Linked DNA regions of Rhinolophus ferrumequinum. The protein of the gene in region 1 interacts with the protein of each later gene in a pairwise test. Links are inferred from orthologs where the notes say so. Each region holds a gene or a part of one and is shown in the gene's direction. Other genes may lie near its edges. The genes, in order: EHD3, MICALL1 and RBSN.

Region 1 (7,668 bases):
TAACAGCTGATGGCCACTCAGCCATAGCGGATGGCCATCTGATTACAGCTGATGGCCATCTAATAACTGAGCCAGCACCTTTCCACGTGAGGCCAAGAGCCTGGAAACTGGTCTCTGAGACTCTGTCCCCACACTCCATCCTTCCAGGGTCCCGCCTCACCATCTACGTGACAAGCATCTTCCGCGAGGGGCCCTGTGTCAGGAACCTAGCTCACGATAAAAAGTTTCAGTCCAGTTCAAGTAATGTCCCAGGGGGTGTCCCGCGATGTCCACCTACTTTCTGGGCACAGCCAGACTTTCTGGGCACAGCCAGGGTTTCTCAGGGTACCATGCTGGAATAATAGTGGCTCACAGCCAAGGTGCTTACATATTCTGGACCCCAGCCAGTCAAAACACAGGAAGTAAACATCGCCTGCACCCCAATAAGGGGTCTTCCTGCACCACAGTCTCAATGGCAACCAGGCGAGACACAGGAAGCAAACATCTGCCTGTACCCCACCAAAGGGTCTTCCTGCACCAGTCTCACTGGTGGCGAGACACAGGACGTAAACATCCTCCAGTTCCACTACATGGTGGTACGTTCCCAAGCACAGTCCAGCAGTGCATCAAATCAGGGATGGAAGGCAATTCCCCATAATCCATAGTCATTCACCAGGGCTATGCATTGGCCTCACAATGTGTGCCCTCTCCGCTGGGCGAGGGCTTCAAGTCCTCTCCAACCTGGGGGTGAGGGATGACCTCATCCATATCCTCCACCGAGGACTCAACAAATGTTTCCTCCTGGGACTACAAGTCCCGCATCTGGTCTGCCTCAGCAAGCACCTCTCAGCCCACACGGCTGCAACGACCTTCACTTTCTCTTGGCTATGCTGGTTGGAGAACCGTCCAAGTCTTCCCACCCCTCCTCGGGGATCCAACTCCTGAGAACAGTAGCTACTGGGCACCACACACTGTGTGGGGGCCACATGTCCTCCTGTCCAGAGTCAGACATCATTCCTACCTGGCCGGAATCCTGCTCGCAGCACCAGGTATCCAAGTGGGTGGTGGCCCCGGCACAAGATGTCCATAACTCTAGGAGCCCACGGCAGCAGCAGACCACCAAAAGGAAGATGATGCTTCTTTGGCCAATAGGGTGGCGTGCCATCCAGAGGTTTGAGAGGACCACCAATTCACTGAGGGGTCACATTTCTCCCAAGAATATTGCGTTTCCTGCTCCCAGAGCCACTCCTCATGGGCCTCCCGAAACAGAGCTTTCATACGTGTACACTGCTCCATTACCCCTTTGAAAATTCTGGCCGGCACCATACCCTGCTCACTGCGCCAAGTATCATGCAGGGTATCTGCTCCCGCTCCCTGCACAAGAACGTAGGATATGGTGAGGCCAAAAAGGAACACCGACGGAGCCATGGATAGAGGGTTCATACCACTATATTCTCACTGGCGGCTGGGTTGGAGACACAGGAAGCAGGAACCACACGATCTGCAATCTGCTGTCCGCTTCTCTGCCAACCAACCAACCCCCTTGTCAGCATAGCCACGGCAGTTATATTAGTGGCTAATGGCTCACTGGTAACAGCTGATGGCCGCCCAGCCACAGTGAATAGCCATCTCATTACAGCTGATGGCCATCTAATAACCGAGCCAGCACCCTTCCATGTGAGTCCGAGAGCCTGGACACTGCTCTCTGGGACTCTGTCCCCACAAGTGCTTAAGTTGACTATTGCCAAATGTATTAATCTTTTCATTGGCAGTTTGTGCTTTTGGTGTCTTGTTGAAGAAGTTCAGGTTTCCATATTTGTTGGCTGTTTTACTGTGTCATTGTTCTATCGGCCTCTCTCTGCCAAAACCACATTATCGTAACCACTGCAACTCAATAACGATCTCCGCCTGGGCAGGTTCCATTCACCGAGCTGTTGTCACTGTCTTCTTTTTCTCCTCCTTCCCCTCCCTCCTCCTCCTGTTCCTCCTTCTCCTCTTTTTTTTTCTTCTGGAATATCTTAGTTATTCTTGGACTATGGTTCTATATACATTTGAAAATCACCTTGTTAATTTCTATGGAAAACCTTGTTCAGATTTTAATTTAAATTCTATCAATTATTGACTCTAGCAATTGTGTTGTAAAGAATTTACATCTTTGTGACATGGAATCTTTCCATAATTAAACATGGTGTGTCTCTCTCGCTTATTTAGAATTCTATAATGTCTTTCCATTACGTTTTATCATTTTCCATATAAAGGTCTTGCATAGTCCTGTGTTTCTTGATTTTTGCCAATGGGTATCTTTTTAAAAAATTGTCTTTATTGCTAATATATAGAAATGCTGCATTATTACTCAACTCTTTTTTAAAGAAGATAGATTTCCAACTCTTCAGGACTGACAGCTAGAGTTAGATGTGTCAATAGACACTCAATAAATTAGATATTTGGGGCTGACAGTCAGTGGTACAAAATACCATAGCTGTACTGGTTAATAAAATATTGAAGTATTTCCACAGTGGCGCCCCCTCTTTCTCCCTTGGCACTCTGATCATCCTGGACTCTCCCCCTGGACAGACCTAGACCTCTCCAAGTTCCAGACACTACTAATGAGGTTTAACGTTTTTTTTTTCTTGTGTTTACAGCACATTCATGTAGCATCTTTTATAAAAGGAATTTTTGTGTCTTTTGCCAAATTTTTTTCTAGTGGAATTTTTTTTATTAATGTACAGGCATTAATTATATATTTTGGGTGCTCTGTTATTGGGTTTATGTATTGTAATATCTTTTCATTCTCTCTTGTACCTCTACAACCGGCACAGCTGGGGCCTAGGCCTGTTCCACTGGGAAGGTAAAAGTCTGTTGTGACTGCTCCATTCCCATGCTTTGCGAGTTGCTAAATATTTTGAATGTTGCCTCTTATGCTCATATGCCAATGCTAATGTAAACACTGAGGGTAAATTATTAATGAGGGGTTCCTACCAGAGATTCAGAGAGCTCAGAAAGAGGCAATCAGCTCTGGAGTTCAAGGTGGGAGTTAGGAGACCTGAGCTGTAAGTAGGAAGATTCTAGCCAGCACCCACCTCTGATAATTCCTGCCCAAATCCCCACAGGTTCACTTAGCATACTCTTCTACTTGGGGCTACCACAGGCACCTCAGCCACACGTTTCAGACTGAACACATCATCTTCTAATGCTAAATCTGCTCTCCCGAGTCCCCTAATTGATGGAACAGTGTCTCCAACTACCTTCTCCCCTACAGTAGAATATTCAGAATCATCCTAGACTCTGCCTTATCCTTATTCTCTTTCTTTTATTGCTTACTAAAATCTGTCATTTCTGTGCCATAAAAATTTTATTGAATACGACCTTTTCCCCATCCCGATTACCACTGTCTCCTAAATTTTTGAATAGTGTCCTAGCTGGTCTCTTGGCCTCCAGCTTCTTTTGCTCCTCCAGTCGCTCCCCCAAACTGTTACCAGCATTAGCAGTTCCCCCTGGACCATTAGCCTGCTCTATTTCCTCATCTGTGGAAGGGAGTGTATGGGAGACAACTGCCTTGGCAAGTACGAGCTTTTATCACTGACACTGTTTAGAACGGTGCTCAGACAAAGCAGACTGACTATGACTTGGTTTTCTTATTGCTCTCAAGTTCCCTACAGACAATGAACCCCTTTTTGCCTACACCTGGCCAACTGTTCCCACCTCCATTCTTGTTGGTATGATTTTGGAGACAATTTGGTCTGCTTTATAGAGCTGCCATGAAGGTCAAATGGTACAATGCTCGCTGTGAACTTAGGCCAGGCCCCTGCACATAGAGAACACTTAATTAGTGTTAACAGTGATTAGTAATAACATTATTCTTGGTGCTTTATCCCCGGTATGATTCCCATGTGGGCAAGCAAAGCCGTTAGGGCCTAGCGTTAGACTCCCTTCCCCGACCCCTGAACCTTACACTCTAGCCAGCAAAACTGTTTATTCGGCCTTCACCACACCAAGTTCTTCCATGTTCCCGTGCCTTTGCAAATGACCTTGACTCTGGAATGTCTTTCTCTGTAGATTCATCATTTAAGATCCAGCTCACAGTCATGCTTTCTGTGAAGCCTTCCTCAAATTATCCAGACAAGAAGAACGCCTCCTCCCCTGTGAACCCCTGGCTTTCAGCTTATACCTCCTCTGTAAAGTCGGCCTGGACTGGAGCTTCTGGAAGGGAGCCTGTAATTGCTCATCTTTGTGATCAACTTTGTGTCTACAGCCACCAAAATTGGTGAGCCTGTAGTACTGGCTCAATACTTGCAGGGCATTTCCTTGTTTTGTTTTGTTTTATTGGAATGAATGAATGAATGAATGAATGGGAATGGTTTTGATTTTACCCTAGACCCAGCAAAGTTTTTAGTGACAGTTCTGGTCGTTTTGTAACCTGGTATTGGACTCTTCTTCCCATCCCTGCTCGCTCTCCTCCCCTCCCCCCACAAATATTACCAACTATTAGAGTACCTGTCTTCCTAAGGAATTGAACTCAGTAACTAAAGAAAAGGCCTTTCAAAAGCGGAGTGATGAGCAGGTCAACTCAGCCTTCTCAGCTGTCCCTGAGAGGGCGCTGTTCCCAAATCAAACCTCCAGAAGCCATGACTGAAATACCAGCGCGTTCCCACGGGATTCAGCATCCCTCCCTTCCCAGGCAGCGGCCACAGATCCCCAGCAGAGCTCCTGCCCACAAACATGGCTGCGCCCTGTTCAGCTTCTCCTTGCTGGGACCCGCTGGCCCGGCCGGCCTTGCCAGTACTCGGGGACTTCCTCCACGAGCCGGCTTCCTGCACCGCTGGCATTTAAACCCGCGGCTGGGGCTGCGGGCTGCGGCTGCGGATGCTGAGCTGTCCTCGGAGTGGGCAGCGCCGCCGCCTCCTCTGAGCGACCTGGCTTGACAGGAGCAGAGCCGAAGCGTCCCCTAACTGGATCCGGGCCAGAGCAGGAGAGGTCTGAGGGGAACGCCGGCATCTAGCAGTTTAATTACAGGTTTGACTTTAATTTCCAAGATCGCAACCCTCCTGCCCAACCTAGATATTTTCCCTCCCTCCGGCCTTGGTTGCTGGATGAAGAAGGGGCTGGGCTTGGTCCCAGGAGCTTGGGAAGAGCACGTTTTCGGCCCCGCGACGTCGCCCCAGGGACCCACGAGCCGCGCGCCCTGGTCATGGTACAGCTGAGCCTGGCGCTCGGGTGAGGCGGCGGCGCTGCTCCAGACTGGCTGGCCCGCCCTGCGGAGCATCTTCCCGAGTAGCCAAGGGCGCCGGGACGCGGGGCTCCGTGTCCTCCTGTTGGAGCTGCGCTCAAGGGGCGAGCAGCAGCCGCGATGTTCAGCTGGCTGGGTTCCGACGACCGGAGAAAGGAGCCGGAGGTCTTCCACACAGTGAGCGAGGGGCTCAAGAAACTCTACAAGACCAAACTGCTGCCCCTGGAAGAGTATTATCGCTTCCACGAGTTTCATTCGCCTGCCCTGGAAGATGCCGATTTCGACAACAAGCCCATGATCCTGTTGGTGGGCCAGTACTCCACTGGGAAGACCACCTTCATCAGGTGAGCTGGTCCAGGGCCCAGACAGCCCACCTGCCACCCAGCACTTAGGCCCTCGGTTCACTCTCTCCTGCCTGGGGACAGTCTTCACTTGAGGGCTCTGACGAAATCCGTGTGTGTGTGTGTGTGTGTGTGTGTGTGTGTGTGTGTACATCCCCAAAGCTTATCCCACGATTTCATTGTTTGTCCAGCTTCCCCTCCTATCTAGTGCCTCGCCTGCTTAGCCCTTGGCTCAGGTGGTCAGTTTGAAGTGTTAATTTTTGGAGCCATCCCTGTTCTTCCCATTTGATGGATAGTGAAACCAAGGCCCAGGAGACACAAGTGAGAAAATTCCTGGTCCAAGAGTACCTTATGATCCACAACTAGACAACAACTTGACTTGGAGCTGAGCTGTGCCCCCCACAACCAGATTGAAAAAAAAAAGGCGATGGCTTGGCGTGGAGCTGATGGGTCCGGTGGGGGGGGTGGCATAGTGTACCCCAGTATTCCCCAATTAAAAAAAAAAGATTAAGAAACTAATAAAAAATAATATTGAATGTCAACTATAATTAAAAAACAAGTCACAGGGATGTAAAGTACAGCATAAAAAATATAGTCAATAATATTGTAACAACTATGGACAGTGTCAGATGGGTAATAGACTTACCGGGTTATCACTTTGTGAGATGTATAAATGTCTAATCAGTACGATGTTTTGTATGCTTGAAACTAATATACTGTATGTCAATGGTAATTGAAAAAATTTTTTTAAATTAAAAAAAGATTAAGAAAAAAAAAGAGTACCTTATGATGATGGGAGTGCCCGCACTTTTTAGGGGCACATCTTTCATGGCCAGGACCACTTCCCTTGCCTTTTAAAGGCTTCAGCTACTCAAATGGGGGCTTTACAGTTGCAGCTGAGGAGGTGGGCTGGGGACCCTGTGATCCCCTGCCTGGTAGTGCCAGTTGTCTTTTTATCAGTTTCCTTCTCTGAGCAAAACTGCTACACATATCTTTTGAAGACTGGACTGAAGCAGTATCCAGAAACAATGCTTTTTTCTTTTCCCTTGTTTGATCTTAATGGCTCAGTAATAGTATTAAAGTCTTTTAGAAGTGGAAGGGATATTGATGGTTGTCTTCTGCAGCCCCTTGACTTGACCGGTGAGATAACTGAGACGTAGAAAGGTTAAATGTATTATCGATAGTCATATAACTGGGTAGGAAGCCAACCTGGGATGCCGGTCTTAGATGCATGGGAGGAGATGCTTGGCTGAATGCCTGTAACTTTGAGGATGAGTCATCCATTCCCTTGAATGATAGAATCCTTGGGCTGGAGGGATCCTGAAGAAGTCGGCTTGTCCACCCTGCATTCAGAGAAGTCCGCATATTGTCCACCCGAGTGATGAGAGTCCTTTCTATCTTTAGAACACAGGCTTCTCTCCAGCCCTCAGTCCACACAACCTTCAAGGCGAGGCCATTTTGCTTGGCCTCGTTTACAGCCATGGCCACGCTGTTGAGGGTGCCTGTGCTCCTCCTTTGTGTTGAGTTGGCTCCTACAGTGTAGCGATGGGTTTGGTGGTCCCCCAGAGCCTATAGTGCTCATCCTCTGCAAGTTTTAAAGCTGGGGTGCTCTTGTTTCCATTCATTGACTGAGCACCTGCAACATTCAAAGCACTGTGCTTTGTTTGGAAAGAAAAGCAGCAAAGTTAACAGTCTGGTCACTGATTTTCTAAATACGAATTTTCTGTAACGCTAAGCTTATAACACAAGCCCCACAAGCAGGGCATGCCCCACACTAACAGTTTGTGTCTGAACAGAACGCCAAATCAAGTTCGCCCTTGTTGGGTGGACAGCCTTGGGCTCAGCAGCTTTGAGAGGCTGAATGATTTCTGAAGAAGTTTGGTACCCAGGTCGGGGAGTGGAAGGAGGTGTATGGGCGTGTTGGCTTTTGGATCTCTTATATTATTAGAAACACAAGGGCCCTTAGCTATGAATCTAATCCATTGCTTCTTAACTTTTTAAAAGCACAATATCGCCTTTGAAAATCTGATGAAAACTGTGGAACTATCTTTAGAAAAATACACATACATCCCTAATCTTGGGGGCCTGAGGGCCGCCTTGGATCTTAGGGTGAGAACCCTG
Region 2 (7,397 bases), on another chromosome or scaffold:
TGAGGCACAGCTGGGTAGAAAAACACAATGGTCAGACCCATATGGAACTGAGAATTCTAGAATCTGGTGGTCAGGCAAGCTTAGAAAAACGAAATTCTGGAATTAGAAGACTGCAGGTGTTGAGGCTCCAGGCTGTCTGGACTGGACGGATAGCTCAGTTCCAAAGTTCCCCTCCCTCATCTTTTATTCTTTTCATATAAAATTCTGCTTGCTCCACCTGACTTACCCAGATTTCTCATCTTGAAGTGATCTGCCCGTGGCCCTGGTGCTGTGTGGGCAAATTCCCTCTCGCTCATTTGAGGCTGGTTTTGTTTTCAAACTAGAGCCTGATTTGCTTCTAGCAATGTGAAACTGTAAACAATGTGTGTGGGTATGAGAAAATGAAAATGACTTTTTTTCCCTAAGTGACTGGTTAATACTGTAACCAGAGCAAGAGTTTAAAAATTAATCAGCAACAAATACTTTATGATTCCACTCATATGTAGTACTTGTAAAAAATAAGTACTTGTAAAAAATGAGTCTGCCACACCCCCAATCTCACTCCAAGGTTTACCACTGACAGCATTTGGGCAGGTATCCTTTCTTCCCGGCGTTAACAGCTGTGGGTTTTTCTGTTGTCCAGCTGTGCTTAAACTGAATCACCCAGTCCGCAGTGTTTTGCTGTGAACGAACAATGAACATCTTTGTATGTACATCGGGGGCCGCTGGGATAGTATTTCTGGAGAACAAAATCTAGAAACAGCCCTGCTGCATCATAGGGTGGGCAAACCCCCACCTTTTACAGATGTTGACATTAAACCTTAGACAGGTGACATTCTTGTTCAGGGTCTTCCAGCAAGTCAGTGGCATAGAGAGCAGGTGGTGGGTGAAAGGGGGCCAGCCAGGTATCGCCTTCCACCCCCGGAAACACACACGCACCCATGGACCTCTGGCTCGGAGAGAGAAGCAGCCCACCGGCCTCTGAAAAGGTGCAGAGTCAGGGGGAATCAACAGCCAGAGGTTCCCAGAGCACTGATGAAATTCGTTTTCCCCACAATTTCCCCAGGTCTCCTCCATGGCGGTTCCTATGCCTTTTACCTTTCTGAAACTTATCTTGAGATCTCTGTGTGAAAATAAACGTAAACCATAGGTCCTGGTTATTCATTCACTCGTTCATCCCATTGCTCATTCTATGGTAATTTCTCTCACTCCCAGCGGTTCTGTGTGTTTCAGCTTGCCTTTGCAGCCCTCCTAACAAAGCAGGTTGGCAGAAAGAATGGTAAACGGAAAGCATGGCACCCTGACCCCAACCAATCAGGGGCTTCCTCTGGAAGCTTGCTGTTCCCTGGGCTTCCTTTTTCCTTGCTGGACAGAGTAGCAAGGAGTCTGTCTCTCACCAGGATCCTGCCCACTACTGGTATACCTGCGGCTATTACCTGGAATTCATTAGAAAGGATTCAAGCTCTGTCTGCAATGACATCTCTCACTGGCTTGCATTCAGCTTGCTCTCTTGGGAGATGGGTATCATTCAACTCAAGTGTCCCCACCTCGAAGAGGCCTTCCCTGGCCGCCCTGTCGGTTCCATGGTCTCTATCACAGCACCTTGCTTTGTTTTCTTCTGAGCACCTCTCACCATCTTCGTTGATTTGTTTGTTCCTTGCCCATCTTCCCAGCTAGAATGTTAGTTCCATGAGGGCAGGAACCCTGTCTCCTTCACCCTATCTCCCCAGATGGGGAGCAGGTGCTCAGTATTTGTTGGATCTGTGAATGTAAACGCTTGCACAAGGTCAAGCTGACAATGGGGGCTGCCACTTAGGAGGCGACTGGGATTGAGAGAAGACAGTCAAGTAGAAACTTCAGGTTTATTTTTAAATGTTTGATAAGGACAATGCATTCACTTCTTAATCGACAGTTAAACAAAATAAAGAAAAGCACTGAATGAAGGGCCCAAAGCCCTCTAGCCTAATCCTGAAATTATGACATGGTTTTGGACCAGTGACTCACCTGGCCGTCTGTGGCTTCTGACCTCACCTAAACACAGTCCCACCTCCTACCTGAACCTAGATTTACAGTCTGCACAGCATTTTTCCATCCATTATCTTACCTGATTACCCACAACCCTGGAACACAGGCAAAACAAAGATTGTCATCTAGATTTTACAGGGTAGGAAATTGGGGCTCACAGGGGTGAGTTGTCTGGCCTGTGGTCACACAGGCCCTTATTTCCTATCATGATGAGCTGACTCAGAAATGAGTTTATAAAACACAGAAATGGCTAATAGGGGCCCAGAGGGCTGTACCATGTAAGCTATTATTAGGGCAACGGGGACCAAGTCAGATCTGGAGCCATCTTCAGGGACCTGAAGGGAGCCCCTTAGGCTGGTGAGGACAGGGACACGGGTATAATACCTCCTGGGTTTTAATGAGAATCCTGGTGGACTTTGAAGGCCAAGGTGGGTGCTGGTATCAGGGTCCTGAGACCAGGCCCCTGATTTAACGAGCATGCCTGGAAACTTCCTTTCCCATAGAGGACAGGGAAGGTGGGAGGTGGCAGCGCAGGCTGGTGAGAGGCCAAGAGGGCTGGCCAGGCATCCTGGCCCATGGCAGCCCCTTTCTAGGTCACCTGACAGTCTACCTTCTGGGCCTAGGCGGTGGGCTTCCAGCCTCAGAGCCAGGGTGTTAGGCTGGCTTGGGTTCACAAGGCCGGGATCCCCTTCCCCGGGTCATTGCATCCTGGGATGGGACTCAATGGGCCTTTGAGGACGTGGGATTCTCCAAGTCGGCCTCTCTCCTTGATCATGTCCTCAAAACAGCCCAAATGACAAGCTGGGTACGAAATGTTCTCAATCCATTTTACCACAAATGTACTGGACATCGGGTAGCAATAGTTAGCATTTATGAGGGACGACTGATGGATCAGGCACATTATATCTTAATTCTCTCAGCCACCTTGTAAAGAAGGAATTATCCCCATTTTTAAGATGTAGAAACTGAGGTTCAGGGCAGCTCAAGATTACACGTCTGGGCAAGTGGGGAAAGCCAGGATGGGAGCCTATGTCAATGTGACTCCCATACCCCCCCAGGGCTGGGGGTGACAGGTGACTAAGATCCTGCTCCTTCCCTTGGGGGGTGGAGCCAGAGACCTATCCCAGCTAACTATTGCACCGGTCAGTGACATCACCGCCAAGGCAGCTGACAGCCAGCCCTGTGGAAGGCTGATGCATTTCCTGGAGGAGGAGAGGCCTCTGGGGAGGGGTCGCTTACCCAAAACTTTAAGGGGAAGCAAGTGGAGAATGATGCTGGGAAGTTTCCAGGCCAGACCCCCGATGCCCTGCCAGACAGGGGCCTGCTTCCCTCCCCATGGAGCCCAACCCACCAGCACCCTAATCATGGCAGGAGAGGGGCCCCCGTGGGGAGTGGGCCTACAGGGCAGGGCAGGAGAACTCTGTAGGACAGGTGGTCAGGCTCAATACACCCCTGGGTGGACACCTGGACTGATGGTGGTGTGGGGAACATGGAGTCTCCCTGGCAGGCTATGGAGGGAGACCAAATTACCTGGAGGTCAGGGATGCTTTGGAGTGATGAGATGGGGTGGGGGAAGCTGGTGACCATCTGTGGGTGCTGTGGGGTCTGCAGGGGAACCTCCTGAAGTGGGGGGAATGCCTCCACAAAGTTTCAGGCCAGGGGAGGTGGGTGGGGGATTTGCAGGTTCTCCGCCAAAGACTGTGAAGGATTCTGGATGGGAGGAAGAGGAGTTCTCGGTGGGCAGCCTGGTGCAGGTGGGGAGTGGAGGAAGTCATCGTGGGAACGGGCTAGTTTGCGGTGGGTAGGGGTTCAGGGCTGTCCCAGAGTTCTTTGAGAGGTCACCGTGGGGAACGGCAGCCTGGGGATCGCCCAGGAGAGGGGCGGTGGGGTGTCGGGGCCTGTGCGTGTGGGGGGGAGGGGCGGGGGGGGGTCTGCGTCTAGGGGCGGAGCCATCGCTGGGTGGGGCGGCAGGCGGCCGCCCCCTACCCGCTCCCCGGCGGCGGCGGGCGGGGACCGAGGCCAGCGGGACGCAGGCGCCCGCGGCCGGCTCATTGCAAGCGGAGCCGGCGGCAGTGAGTAGGCGGCGGTCGGCCGGGCAGGTCCGGGCACGTCCGGGCGGGGAGCAGTCAGCCGAGCCGGGACCCCGCGCCGGAGCCCGAGCCTAGGACACCGAGGCCGCGGCCCCGCCTCCTCCCCGCCCTTTGCCAGCCGGTCGGCGCCCGGAGCTCGGAGCAGCGCAGAGCAGGGCCGCGCCGGAGCCGCCCGTGGCGGGCCAGAGGGTGAAGCCTGATCCCGGCGGCACCCGGAGCCGGGCCGAGCCCCGTGAAGCTCATGGCGGGGCCGCGGGGTGCGTTGCTGGCCTGGTGCCGCCGCCAGTGCGAGGGCTACCGCGGCGTGGACGTCCGCGACCTGAGCAGCTCCTTCCGGGACGGCCTGGCCTTCTGCGCCATCCTGCACCGGCACCGGCCGGACCTGCTGTGAGTGCCGGGAGGGCGGGCGGGAGGGTCGGGGCGCAGGGCGGCGGGGCCTGGGCCGGGGACCCCCGCCCCCCTCAGTGACGCGGGGCCCGGGCGGTGGCTGGCGCCGCCCCCCGGAGACCGAGACGCCGACCCTACCGACCGGCCCAGAACGCCTTGAGGGTCACTGAGACCCCCAACCCGGAGCACCCCCTCCTCCACCAGGCCTCTCTGACCCCGCCTACTGGAACTCAGAACCCACCATCGCCTGCTGGTCCCTCCGCGGCAGGGGTGGGAGGGGGGTGGCCCCACCCACAGGGCAGTGATTTTCGCCAAAGGGACACAGCCCCCCAAGGCCTTGACTCTTTGAAGGGGCACCGAACCTTCCTCGGGGGAACCCTGGGCCTCCACTAAACTCCTCTCAAATAGTCACACTGAGCACCCCACTCTCAGTGAGGCGTTGAGGCCTGTTCCCTCTGTGGGAGCCCCCCTGGCTCTGAGTGCAGTGAACCTCACTTCTCTGATTCCCCCATGCGATCTTGTCTCGAGGGCACTAGTACAGTGCCTGGCACGGAGGGGCCCCTAGGTTAACTGGTTGGATGAATGGATGTACCCCCACACACACATACACACACACACACACACACACACACACACACACACAATTAGGACACAGATCAGGTGTGTGTGCAGTGGCCCTGCCATCTTCAGTGGGGCAGGAGGGCCAAGTGAAGACTCACAATGTGTTCTATTGATAGCCATCCACGGGCTGCTCCAGGGTATGAAATGCCCCCTTCTTGCCCCCAGCTGTCCAGTGAGGTTCTCGTGGGAAAATTTATTCAGATCTCCAGAGCAGTTGAAGTTGACTTAGGGCTTCTATCAGCTCCCTATGCCTTGGGCCCTGGCACCTCTTCCATCCATCCATCCATCCATTCCATTCATTCATTTATGAAACACTAAGTGAAAGTTTATCTGGTGCCAGTCATTCTTTTTGCTTCCTATCGAATGTTCAATTTGGGAACAAGAGTCATGGTTCTTGCCTGGCTTGCCTACCCCCCGCCAAGGGTGACCTGAGCCTGGCAGGTCCTGGAGTCTCTCTGTCTGTTCCACTTCCAGCTCTACTCTCCCCGAGGTTGGCACCTGGGAGGGCTTTGAGGAAGGAGGGAAGAAAGGAAAGGATTGCTTTAAGGATTCGATGGCACGTGCACTGGGTTACTGTGTATTGTGTGGCACAATGTCTGTGGCTGACGGGTCGGGCCCGGTGTTGGGCCCTGGAGGAGAGTGTTTTGGGGGTGTGGATACAGAAGTAAACAAGATGAGGTGGAGATGTAGGTGGGCACTGCCTGCTGGGCGGCATGGGACAACTGCACTAGGGACTTGGACGGAGGAGGGCACCCGGATTGGAGTGGAGGCTTGTTTTTGCTGGAGGGACAGGCGGTGAGGCAGGAGGCAGAGGACATGGCCAGTGTGTGAAGAGACTTGGGTGTCAAGCGAAGCTGTGTGGTGGGCCTGAGCCTGCCAGCATCAAAACTCAGGCTGCTTTGGTTTGCATTCAGCCCCTCCATGTCCCAGGTTGGCGGCCTTGGGTAAATCCCTCCAGGCGTCAGTTTCCTCATCTGTAAAGTGGGGTTGATAATAAGACTGACCTCACAGGAGTGCCGTGGGGATTCAATGAGGTAATGAGCATTCAATTAATCTGCGTTATTATAAGTAGTATAATTAGACAGTAGGGGGGAGGTGGTGAGTGTCTTATTCTTTCATTTATTCAACAAGTATTTACAGAGTTACCGCTCTGTGCTTGGCACTGTGCCAACAAAGAGACTAACCCCACATGGTCTCCCACAGCCTATGGGGTCACAGATGTAAAAGCAGGGGATGATAATTCCACGTGGGAAGTGCTGTGTCAGAGGGCTGGGCTGGGAATGCCTCCCAGATGTCACGTAGTCCTCAAGGAGATGTCAGGAGCCAGGTCAGGGCGTTGGGGCAGAGGGAACACCTGAGCAGAGCCACAGGTAGCCCATGGCACAAGGCAGGGAGGGCCCGGAGCAGTAGCTGGGCCAGAGTGCTTCCCGCCTCTTGCTGGCTAAGGAGGGTGAATGGCGCCGTGCGGAGCCATGTGGGTTTTAAGAAGGGGAGGGATGTGGCTCAAGTTGGTTTGGAATGGAGGGCGGCTCCCCTCCTGAGAAGATCCAGAATCACCAGCGCCAGGGCTGCCAGCCCGTTGTCCCCCAAGACAGCCCTCTTGTCCTGCCACCCAGGACGAAAACTGAGGCCCGTGTGCCCCATATGGCACAGAGAGGACCTCAGCGATGGATAGAGTGGCTTTCCACGAGAGTAGGGGTGGGGCAAGAATCATTTTCTGAAGTGGTTCAAGCTCCTGGCGCTGTGGGCCCCGGCTCTGCTGGGGGTGTGGCTGTGCTGCGTGGTAAAGGGGCTGGTTCACTGCCCGCTTCCCCCAATCCAGGCGTCTTTAAGCTCCGTGGAGGGCAGACACCATGTGGGTTTCATTTTTGTGCCCTTCATCTCCCCCAGAGCCAAATAGAACTTCCCAGGCCTTTGAAAACTCTCAGAAAATCTGTGTTACTAAAGCCCAGATGTGGATTAGAGACAGAGATGGGGGTGGGGGAAAGGATGAAGAATTGTAATATCTCGGGAGCCTGTATAGTTTTCACACTGTTTCCAGCATTTCTTCATTCAAAAAACATGTATTGAACACCTACTAAGTACCAAGAACTATGCAGGGTGTTAGGGGCACAGGGTGAACAAAATGTGACCCCAGCCTTGAGGAAACACTGTTGGGGAGACGGAAATAAACGGCCAGGTTGCTTTGTCTCATTTGGTCTGGGAACAAGCCTTTGTCGGGGGCTTAGGCTGGGGTCCCCTCACCCTGTTCACAGCGTTCACAGACCAGGAGGCTGAGGGTTAGAGAGGTTAAAT
Region 3 (7,893 bases), on another chromosome or scaffold:
CATACTGCGACCTGGCACTTCCCATACCCTTTACTCGTTTTTTTCTTTTTTCGATGCACTTATGACTGTCTAATGTACTATAAAATATACTTCTTGGGTATAGTTATTGTTTAGTGGCTGTGTCTCTCCACTAGAATATCAGCTTCATGAGGTCAAGAACTGCTGCCTGGTTTAGCTCAGGCACCCACGTAGCAAGGTGCTCAATACATAGGTTGTTGAATGAAAAAAATCACAGGCCTAAGTCAATTTCTGAGTTAAACTGGAGTCACAAGACTAAGGTGTTAGATGCTCTACACATCAAACTCTTCAATATCTTATTAAATACTTAAAATACCACATGTACACAGATTATTTCAAATCTGTGTTTGAATTGGGGTTAACTTCTCAACTGACTGGGCGTACATATCTCCAGAGATTTAGCTCAGAGGAATGAGTTCTGAAGCTGCAGACAACCAGTGTGATTTTCTTCTCACAACCTGAGGACCATGCTGAGCCCTTTACTCTCGTCCGTCGCCCTGGGACCCTCTTGGAGGTATGCACAGCACAGTTGAGCGGGTGAGTGGGAGCAGAAATCCAGTTTGTGACCCACTCACTAGGCACAGGGCTTGAGTTCTGGCACAGGGCTCCATCCGTGGAAGCAAGAGGGGCCTCTTTCCCATTCACCAAAGGCCCCAATAGGCTGGCAGTGGCCCTGTTTTGTCAAAGGAGATGCCAGCCGATAACCTGAAAATTGGGTGGCCTTGCAGTTCACATGTTAATACCATATTTTCTACTTAACAAGTCTGTTGAGGCTGCTACTCCCCACCAACCTCCCCCACAAAATTCAATGAATGTGCGAGTAGTTATTATTTGATTCCATTCTGACTTCCCATCTGGCAGGGCCATGACTCTCAAAGATATTTCCATGATACCAGATAGGATCCTCGCATCTCCAATGACAGTGTCTGACTCAGCTTGACACAACTGCCAAAGCATTTAAATCACACCTCCCTTCCTTTTTCTTTAACAAACATTCACATAGTCCTTCCTATGTGCCAGGCCCTGTTCCAGCACTGTATTAACCGATTGAATGCTCCATCCTAGGAGGTAGATGGTATTATTCTCCCATTTTACAGATGAGGAAACTAAAGCTCAGAGAATTTCAGTGACTGAACTGGGACCTCACAGCTGTGGGGCTGGGATACAAACCCCAGTTGACTGGCTCTGGAATCTGTGCTTAGAACAGTTATGACTGGCTACCTCTTAACTTTTTCTTGTTCTCCTTTTCTCCCTCTTTCCCTACTTATTTCTTTCCCTCTCTTCCCTTTCCTTCTCTCTTTCTCTCTTTTCTTTTGTCCGTTCTCTGCTTCCTTCCTGACCCTGAGCAGCTGCCACCTGCTTCCCCTGGTCACCACCCAGCCTGGCACACCCTTTGTCAATTCTCCAAACCAGGCCCTGCCCTCCTGTGACCCTGTCAGTCCTTTGGTCATTACTCTGTTTTCCCTGTGCCAGCAGATGGGGTGTGCCAACCTCTGTCTCCTCAACCTACCTGCTCATGACCACAGCAGCAGTTGTCAGAGGCCTGGGCCAGCCTGGAGGGAAGCTGGATCTTTGGGGAGTTACATGCCGTACCGCACACCTTCCCCTAACATACGCTTACTGACATTATGATTTCCCTCTCCTGCACAGGTTTTTTAATGTCATGCCAAGACATCTTGTGCTGCTTGAGATGAACTTAAACAATAAGGGGTCAGAAAGAGAGAGAGAGAGACAGAAACAGAGACAGAACTCTAGGCCAGAAGGCAAAGGTGAAGGAGCCCTTGTCTGAGACTCGACCCTTAGACGGGGCTCGCCGTAGTGCTGGGAAGATGTAGTGCCTTCATAGTATCACTCTAGGTATGAATGAATTTTTCTGTTTCTCAAAGGACACATGTTCTTCCCCAGGACCATGCTTTTGCATATGCTGTTCCCCAGGCCTGGCAAGCGCTTCTTGATCATCTCTACTTGAGGGCTCTGCGCATGTGTTGCTGCCTCTGGGAAACTTTCCCTGAATTCCCACAGGGGGTTTCATCAGCCAGAACATCTGCACACATGTGCACACTTCTCTTTCTCTCTCTTTTCTTTTCTTCCTTTCTCCTTCTCGTTCTTCTTCTTCTTTTTTTTTTTTTTTAACTAATTGGATTATGTTCCCTGCCAGCTGAGGCCTCCTTGAAGACTGAGACTGTCTTGCATGATTCTCTTCACTTCCTCTATCTCTATGCCTGGGACATGGTTGGTCCCCGGAAAATGCTGAGAGATGAAGAAAAGCTCAGAGATCAGGCCTTCACAAAGGAAGGATAAGTGGGGGTTGTGAAAGTCTCAAGACAAGATGACTCTGGGTTCAGTACTTAACAGCTGTGTGATCTTGGGTAAATTACCTAATCTCTCTGTGCCTCAGATTCCTCACTTACAAAATGAGAATAATATTAGTTTGTACCACATAGGGTTATATGAGGATTAAATGAGTTAAAACATGTAAAGCACATAGAACAATGACTGGCACATGCAAATCACTCAGTGAATATTAGTTATTATTACTAATATTAAAATAGAATTAATAATAGAGCTGCCCAAAGGATTTAAATAATGAAAGTGCTTTTGATAAACTGTAAAGCATACAGGAAGATCTTTGCCACCATCATTCTTAAAAATATCAATAGAATAGCAGTGGCTGATCCAGCATGATTTCCGGAATTAATTCACAAGCTGCCGGCCACATTACTACTTTTTTGAGTAAATGAAATGGTGAATGCGACACTGGCTTTTGTAAATGATAGAATAACAGGCAAAATCATGATGGTTTAATAAAAGGTTCATCACCTGACTCCAAACATAGTCCTGCTGATAAGTGTGGCCAGTTCTGGGACTTATCCGGCTCCATACATTCAAGAAGGTGTTTTCACTCTTTTGGTTACTCGGAAACAAGGCAGGAGGTGGCGGTGGGTAGGTAGAGCTGGGACTGATGCTTTGCTTCTGACAGGTTGGCAAGTCTCTTGTCTGTGCCAATACACAAAGGGGAGTCACTGTCTACTCCTACCAACCCTATAAAGTTAAAAAAAATACATATTTTTTGGGCTATCAGATTGAAAAAAACAAAAGAGCTCGAAAGTCTTTAGAACCCATTTTATCTGTTTAGATGGGAAAACTGAGGCCAGGAGAGGGAAAGGGAACAGTTGAAAGTCACACAGTAAGGTCTCTGAACCCCCTACCTCACTGCCCTTCCACTGGCGCTTGCTTTCCAAAATCTCTATGCTCCCCACACTGGAAGCCCCACATCCTTAAATAGAAGGTGAGGCAAGCCCAGCACTAGTTGCAGAATCAGTGCTCCAATTTAGAGGTGGAGCCACTCCCCAGCCCCCACCCCCCAACCTCCCTCTGCCCTGGCAACCACCAATACTTTCTTTGTATCCATGAGCTGTTCTTTTTTCCCAAAGATTCCACATACTCATATAAGTGAGATCATACAGTGTTTGTCTCTCTGTCTACTTATTTCACTTAGCATGAATGCCTTCAATGTCCTTAGGTCCATCCATGTTGTTGCAAATGGCAAGCTTTCATTCTTTTTAATGGCAGAATCATATATATATATATATATATATATATATATATATATATATATCACATCTTTATCCGTTTATCAATCAATGGACACTCAGATTGTTTCCATGTCTTGGCCATTATAAATAATACTGCAATGAACATGGGGCGGGGGGTGGGGTGGGGCATACATCTTTTTGAGTTTAGTGTTTTCATTTTCATCGGCTAAATGCCCAGAAGTGGAATTGCTGGATCATTTGCTAGTTCTCGTTTTATTTTTTTGAGGAACCTCCATACTGGTTTTAGATAGTGGCTGCATCAATTTACATTTCCACCAACAGTGTACAAGAGTTCCCTTTTCTCCACATCCTCGCCAATACTTGTTATTTTTTGTCTTTTTGATAATAGCTATTCTAACAGGTGTGAGGTGGTACCTCATTGTGGGTTTTTTGGTTGTTGTTTGGTTTGGTTTTTGTCCACGTGGGAATTATACTGTATGCGGTGTTTTCTTCCAGTTTTACTGAAAAACAATTGACATACATCACTGTATAAGACATACAGCATGGTTTGATTTACATGTTGTGAAATGATTATCACAATAGATTCAGCTAACATCCATCTTTTCATATAGATGACAACCAAAAGAAAAGAAAAAAGGATAAAGCAAAAAAAAATTTTTTTTCTGTGAGAACTCTTAGTATTTACACTGTTAACAACTTTCCTGTATATTATACAACAGTGTTAGCTATAGTCATCATATTGCACATTACATCCCTAGTACTTATTTATCTTGTAACTTTTGACCACCCTCCTCCAATGTCCCTTCCTCCACCCCTTCATTGCAGTTTTGATTTACATTTGAAAATGTCAGATTTCCCACAGATTTGACCACGCTGTCTACCCTCTGAATGGATACTTCCTCTCATTATAAGTCTCCACTCTCATGTGGTTCTATTCCGGATCTTTCCACAACCTCCAAGTCTCCAAAATATTCCTTTTATCTCTAGCCCTCAAGAACTTTGACTCAAATTAATTTAGAACTGTAGCTGGGGGTAGGGTAGGAGGCGTTAAAGACCCCACCCCCAACCCTGCTGCCTCATTCATTGCACACCTTGGTCGAAAGCTAAAGAATTACATCATATACAAGCTTCTGTTTTCCCACCTGTACCACGGGGTGGAGAGCAAGGGGCTGGCTTTAACGCATTATACGTAAGTACCTGGGACGTCAAAACGTTGCAAAATTACTGAGCTCACCCTGCTGGTTCTTACAGCGCCTGCGCAGAAGCCGCCGGTCGCCCAGCGCTTTTGGAATCTGTCGCGGCCCCTTTCGCGCGCTGGAAGACTCGGCGCTCCGTGGGCGTCTGTCAGCCTGTCTTCCGGTTTCGGTGCTGCCACAGGAGCGCCTGCCGAGCGCCAAGTAACCGATGGAGATGGCGGCCGCGCCGGTGTGATGAACCGTGGAGGCCCAGAGCCCGTGCCAAGGTCTGGAAAGGCCTGCGAGCCCGCGGGAGACTGGCCGGTTACCGAGGGTTGGACTGGGCCTAAGGGGCCGGGCGCTGCTCTCTTCGGGCACCGAGACGGGCGGCCGAGCGGGTGTGGGACCGTGAGGTTGGGGTGGGTGTGACATGCGTAGTGGAGGAGGTGGCTTTCGGGTCTTGCTGTTCGCTCGTGTGTGCTTGCGTTGAGTGGGCTCTGTTTGGGTGTGTGGTGTCGCGGGGCGTGTACAGTTGTGTGTGGTTGTGCGGCTGAGGGGTGGGTGGGTGGTCGTCTCCCGGGTGGTTGTGTTTGGTTCTCTGATTGTGTGAGGTTGAGGCGTTTGGGGTCTGAGTTTTTGTGTTGTTTGTAACGTTTGGTGTGGCGTCTGTGCGATGTGTGAAGTTGTCATGTCTGCCCTGCGCGGGTGAGTCTTTCACGTTGTGTGTACTTTTGCGACGTGTGCCTAATCGTGTTGAGTGAGGTGGAGGCGGGTTGTGTGCGGTCGTGAGGCTGTGATGAGTGCGGCTGTCTCTGCGGCATCGGCTGAACGTATAGGTGCAGAATACGTAGGTTTTATTTTTATGTTTTGCTCGGTGTACAGTGTGGGCTTGCATACGTTATGGTTGTGGGGTTTGGCTTGGTGGTTTGTGGTAGATTTCTTTGGTTTGTGGTGTGTGTTTGGTTGTCTGATCTTACAGTTCATTCATTGTGTTTCTTGTAGTTTGTGCCAAACATTGTGCCAGACCTTGGGGATATGGTGGTGGAAAAACAGACATGGAATCTGCCCTCACCGAGCTTCCAGTCTCATGTGTTCAGTTACTTTATACACTTGTGATTATAGATTGAGATCAGTGCTGTGTAGAAGTGCAGGGGCTGTCAGATGGGAGGAGGCCTCAAGTCAGAGGCATTTCCTTGAGGAAGTGAGGTTGGATGGAGATGTGAAGGGTGTGTGTGTGTTTGATTTGCGGTATTAAGGGTGAATTCACAGAACAGAAGGGGGCTGTCAGAGTCAGGGTGTCAGATGAACCACTGGGTGGGAAGAGAACTGGAGCTGCTATTTCAGTGACTATCTGGAAACGCGGTGAGATTTGCTTATATATAGTCATTGGGTTTCTCAGCTAGAGGAAAGAAACAGACTTTGTTTATTTTCTGGGTCACTGCCACCCTTCAGGTTTGAGGACCAGGCCGTCCCACCTCAGTGGCCCTCTACGCAGTGGTCCGTCTAACCTGAGGGTCATACAGTCCCCCTTACTCTCTACTGTGGTTAGTGAACTCAAGCTCTTGGGGAGAAATTTCTCTGCTTTTGTGAAGTGGTTTTGTGGTCTGGGTTCTCCTTATGACCGGGAGTCTTTCTGAGGTGACATTGGAAGTGACTTTGCCATGGCCCAAGAAAACTGAAACTGTAACTTACTAAGCCCTGAATTGTTTAAGCACGAAATCCTTTGATTTTTAAAGCTGTGAGAACTTTTGGCTTCCTGCTCAACTGTCACTACTGGTTTATAAAATATAGTAAGTTCATTGGAGAGAAAGTGCTTTACAAGTATAAAACACAAAATAGATTTTTCTTTTTGACCACTAGGTTTCTAATGCTCCTCCTTAGACTGAGGTAGGGATTTTTGTTTTGTTTATTAGGGCAGGCACTATCTCTTTTTTATTGTTGTATTTTTGACATTGGTGCAAGAGCTCAATAGATGTGATTGAATCAATGATCAAAATACAGAGAGTTCAAGAAAAACTCCTATTTGTTGATAAATACTTCAGACATTACTCCTATGATCTACAGATTATGAAGTTGGATCATTTGGAATGAATGTTAGAGAATTGCCTGGGTATTGTGTTTGCTGTTGAAGTTGAATTTTCCTTTCGTATCTTCAAGCATCTGTGCTTCCCACTTTATTGAGCTGCCGTTGTCCTGTGATGTTCTTCTATCTTAGATGGTTTTATGTTTTGGTCTAAGGATTTGAGAAAGCAGTTTGCGTTCTCAAACATGTACTGAACAAACATTAAGTATCCTTGTTGAATGATGGAAAGAACAAAGAGAATTCTGAATTGCTGCTAATTTGCCTGATTGGCTTTCCCCCGCCCCTTCTTCTTTCCTTTCTTAAGGCTTCTCCCACGGACTCCAGTGAGGAAACCTCGCCCAGGGCCATGATACCACTTGCACATCATCTGTGTGCTGCCTGGTTAAGTTAATGCTGCGGGAGCCCTGGTCCTTTGCGGAGGAATCCAGCTGAGGGTTGGCATGAGGCTCCTGCCTTGTGCGGGTTGAGAGGGACACTGTCATGGCCTCTCTGGATGACCCAGGAGAAGTGAGGGAGGGCTTCCTCTGCCCTTTGTGCCTGAAGGACCTACAGTCTTTCTATCAGCTTCAGTCCCATTATGAAGAAGAGCACTCCGGGGAAGACCATGATGTCAAAGGGCAAATTAAAAGTAAGAGGCGAGGAGTTTGCTTATCCCGTTCTGTTCGTGGGAGCTTGAACTCCTGGGGTGGTTTTCATCAGCTTCTATGTTGCCTCTGGAACATGATATTAACAATCATAAATGGATAACAATAGCCACAAACATTTATCTAGCGCTTACCACGTGCCAGGCTTTGTTCAAAGTCTTCCCATGAATTAACTTCATTTAATCCTCACAATAGCTATGCTGCGATGAGCCCCATTTTACTGATGAGGGTATCAGACACAGAGATTAGATAACCTGCCTAAAGTCACACAATGAGGCAGAGCCCGGCTTTGAACCTAATAAATGTAGTTACTGTGCTCTGCTGACTGAATTGTCTCATTGCCAGCCTCCGAGGGTTTTGGAGTGGAATTCTTTTCCTTTGCTATGCAAGTGGAGGCACATTGTTGACTCATTTAC

Evidence for each region.
Region 2: the proteins of EHD3 (region 1) and MICALL1 interact in binary tests that used the Homo sapiens proteins (3 or more experiments, as listed by UniProt). The link is inferred for Rhinolophus ferrumequinum from reciprocal best matches to the Homo sapiens genes EHD3 and MICALL1.
Region 3: the proteins of EHD3 (region 1) and RBSN interact in binary tests that used the Homo sapiens proteins (3 or more experiments, as listed by UniProt). The link is inferred for Rhinolophus ferrumequinum from reciprocal best matches to the Homo sapiens genes EHD3 and RBSN.

What each region holds. Positions count from the first base shown.
Region 1 is NC_046296.1:50,263,726-50,271,393, reverse strand, and holds the start of EHD3 (EH domain-containing protein 3), read left to right. Parts: upstream 1-4,632; 5' UTR 4,633-5,326; coding exon 5,327-5,550; intron 5,551-7,668. UniProt on the Homo sapiens protein: ATP- and membrane-binding protein that controls membrane reorganization/tubulation upon ATP hydrolysis. In vitro causes tubulation of endocytic membranes. Binding to phosphatidic acid induces its membrane tubulation activity.
Region 2 is NC_046293.1:9,060,048-9,067,444, reverse strand, and holds the start of MICALL1 (MICAL-like protein 1), read left to right. Parts: upstream 1-4,312; 5' UTR 4,313-4,335; coding exon 4,336-4,481; intron 4,482-7,397. UniProt on the Homo sapiens protein: Lipid-binding protein with higher affinity for phosphatidic acid, a lipid enriched in recycling endosome membranes. On endosome membranes, acts as a downstream effector of Rab proteins recruiting cytosolic proteins to regulate membrane tubulation.
Region 3 is NC_046300.1:41,248,707-41,256,599, reverse strand, and holds the start of RBSN (rabenosyn-5), read left to right. Parts: upstream 1-4,848; 5' UTR 4,849-5,037; intron 5,038-7,137; 5' UTR 7,138-7,313; coding exon 7,314-7,461; intron 7,462-7,893. UniProt on the Homo sapiens protein: Rab4/Rab5 effector protein acting in early endocytic membrane fusion and membrane trafficking of recycling endosomes. Required for endosome fusion either homotypically or with clathrin coated vesicles.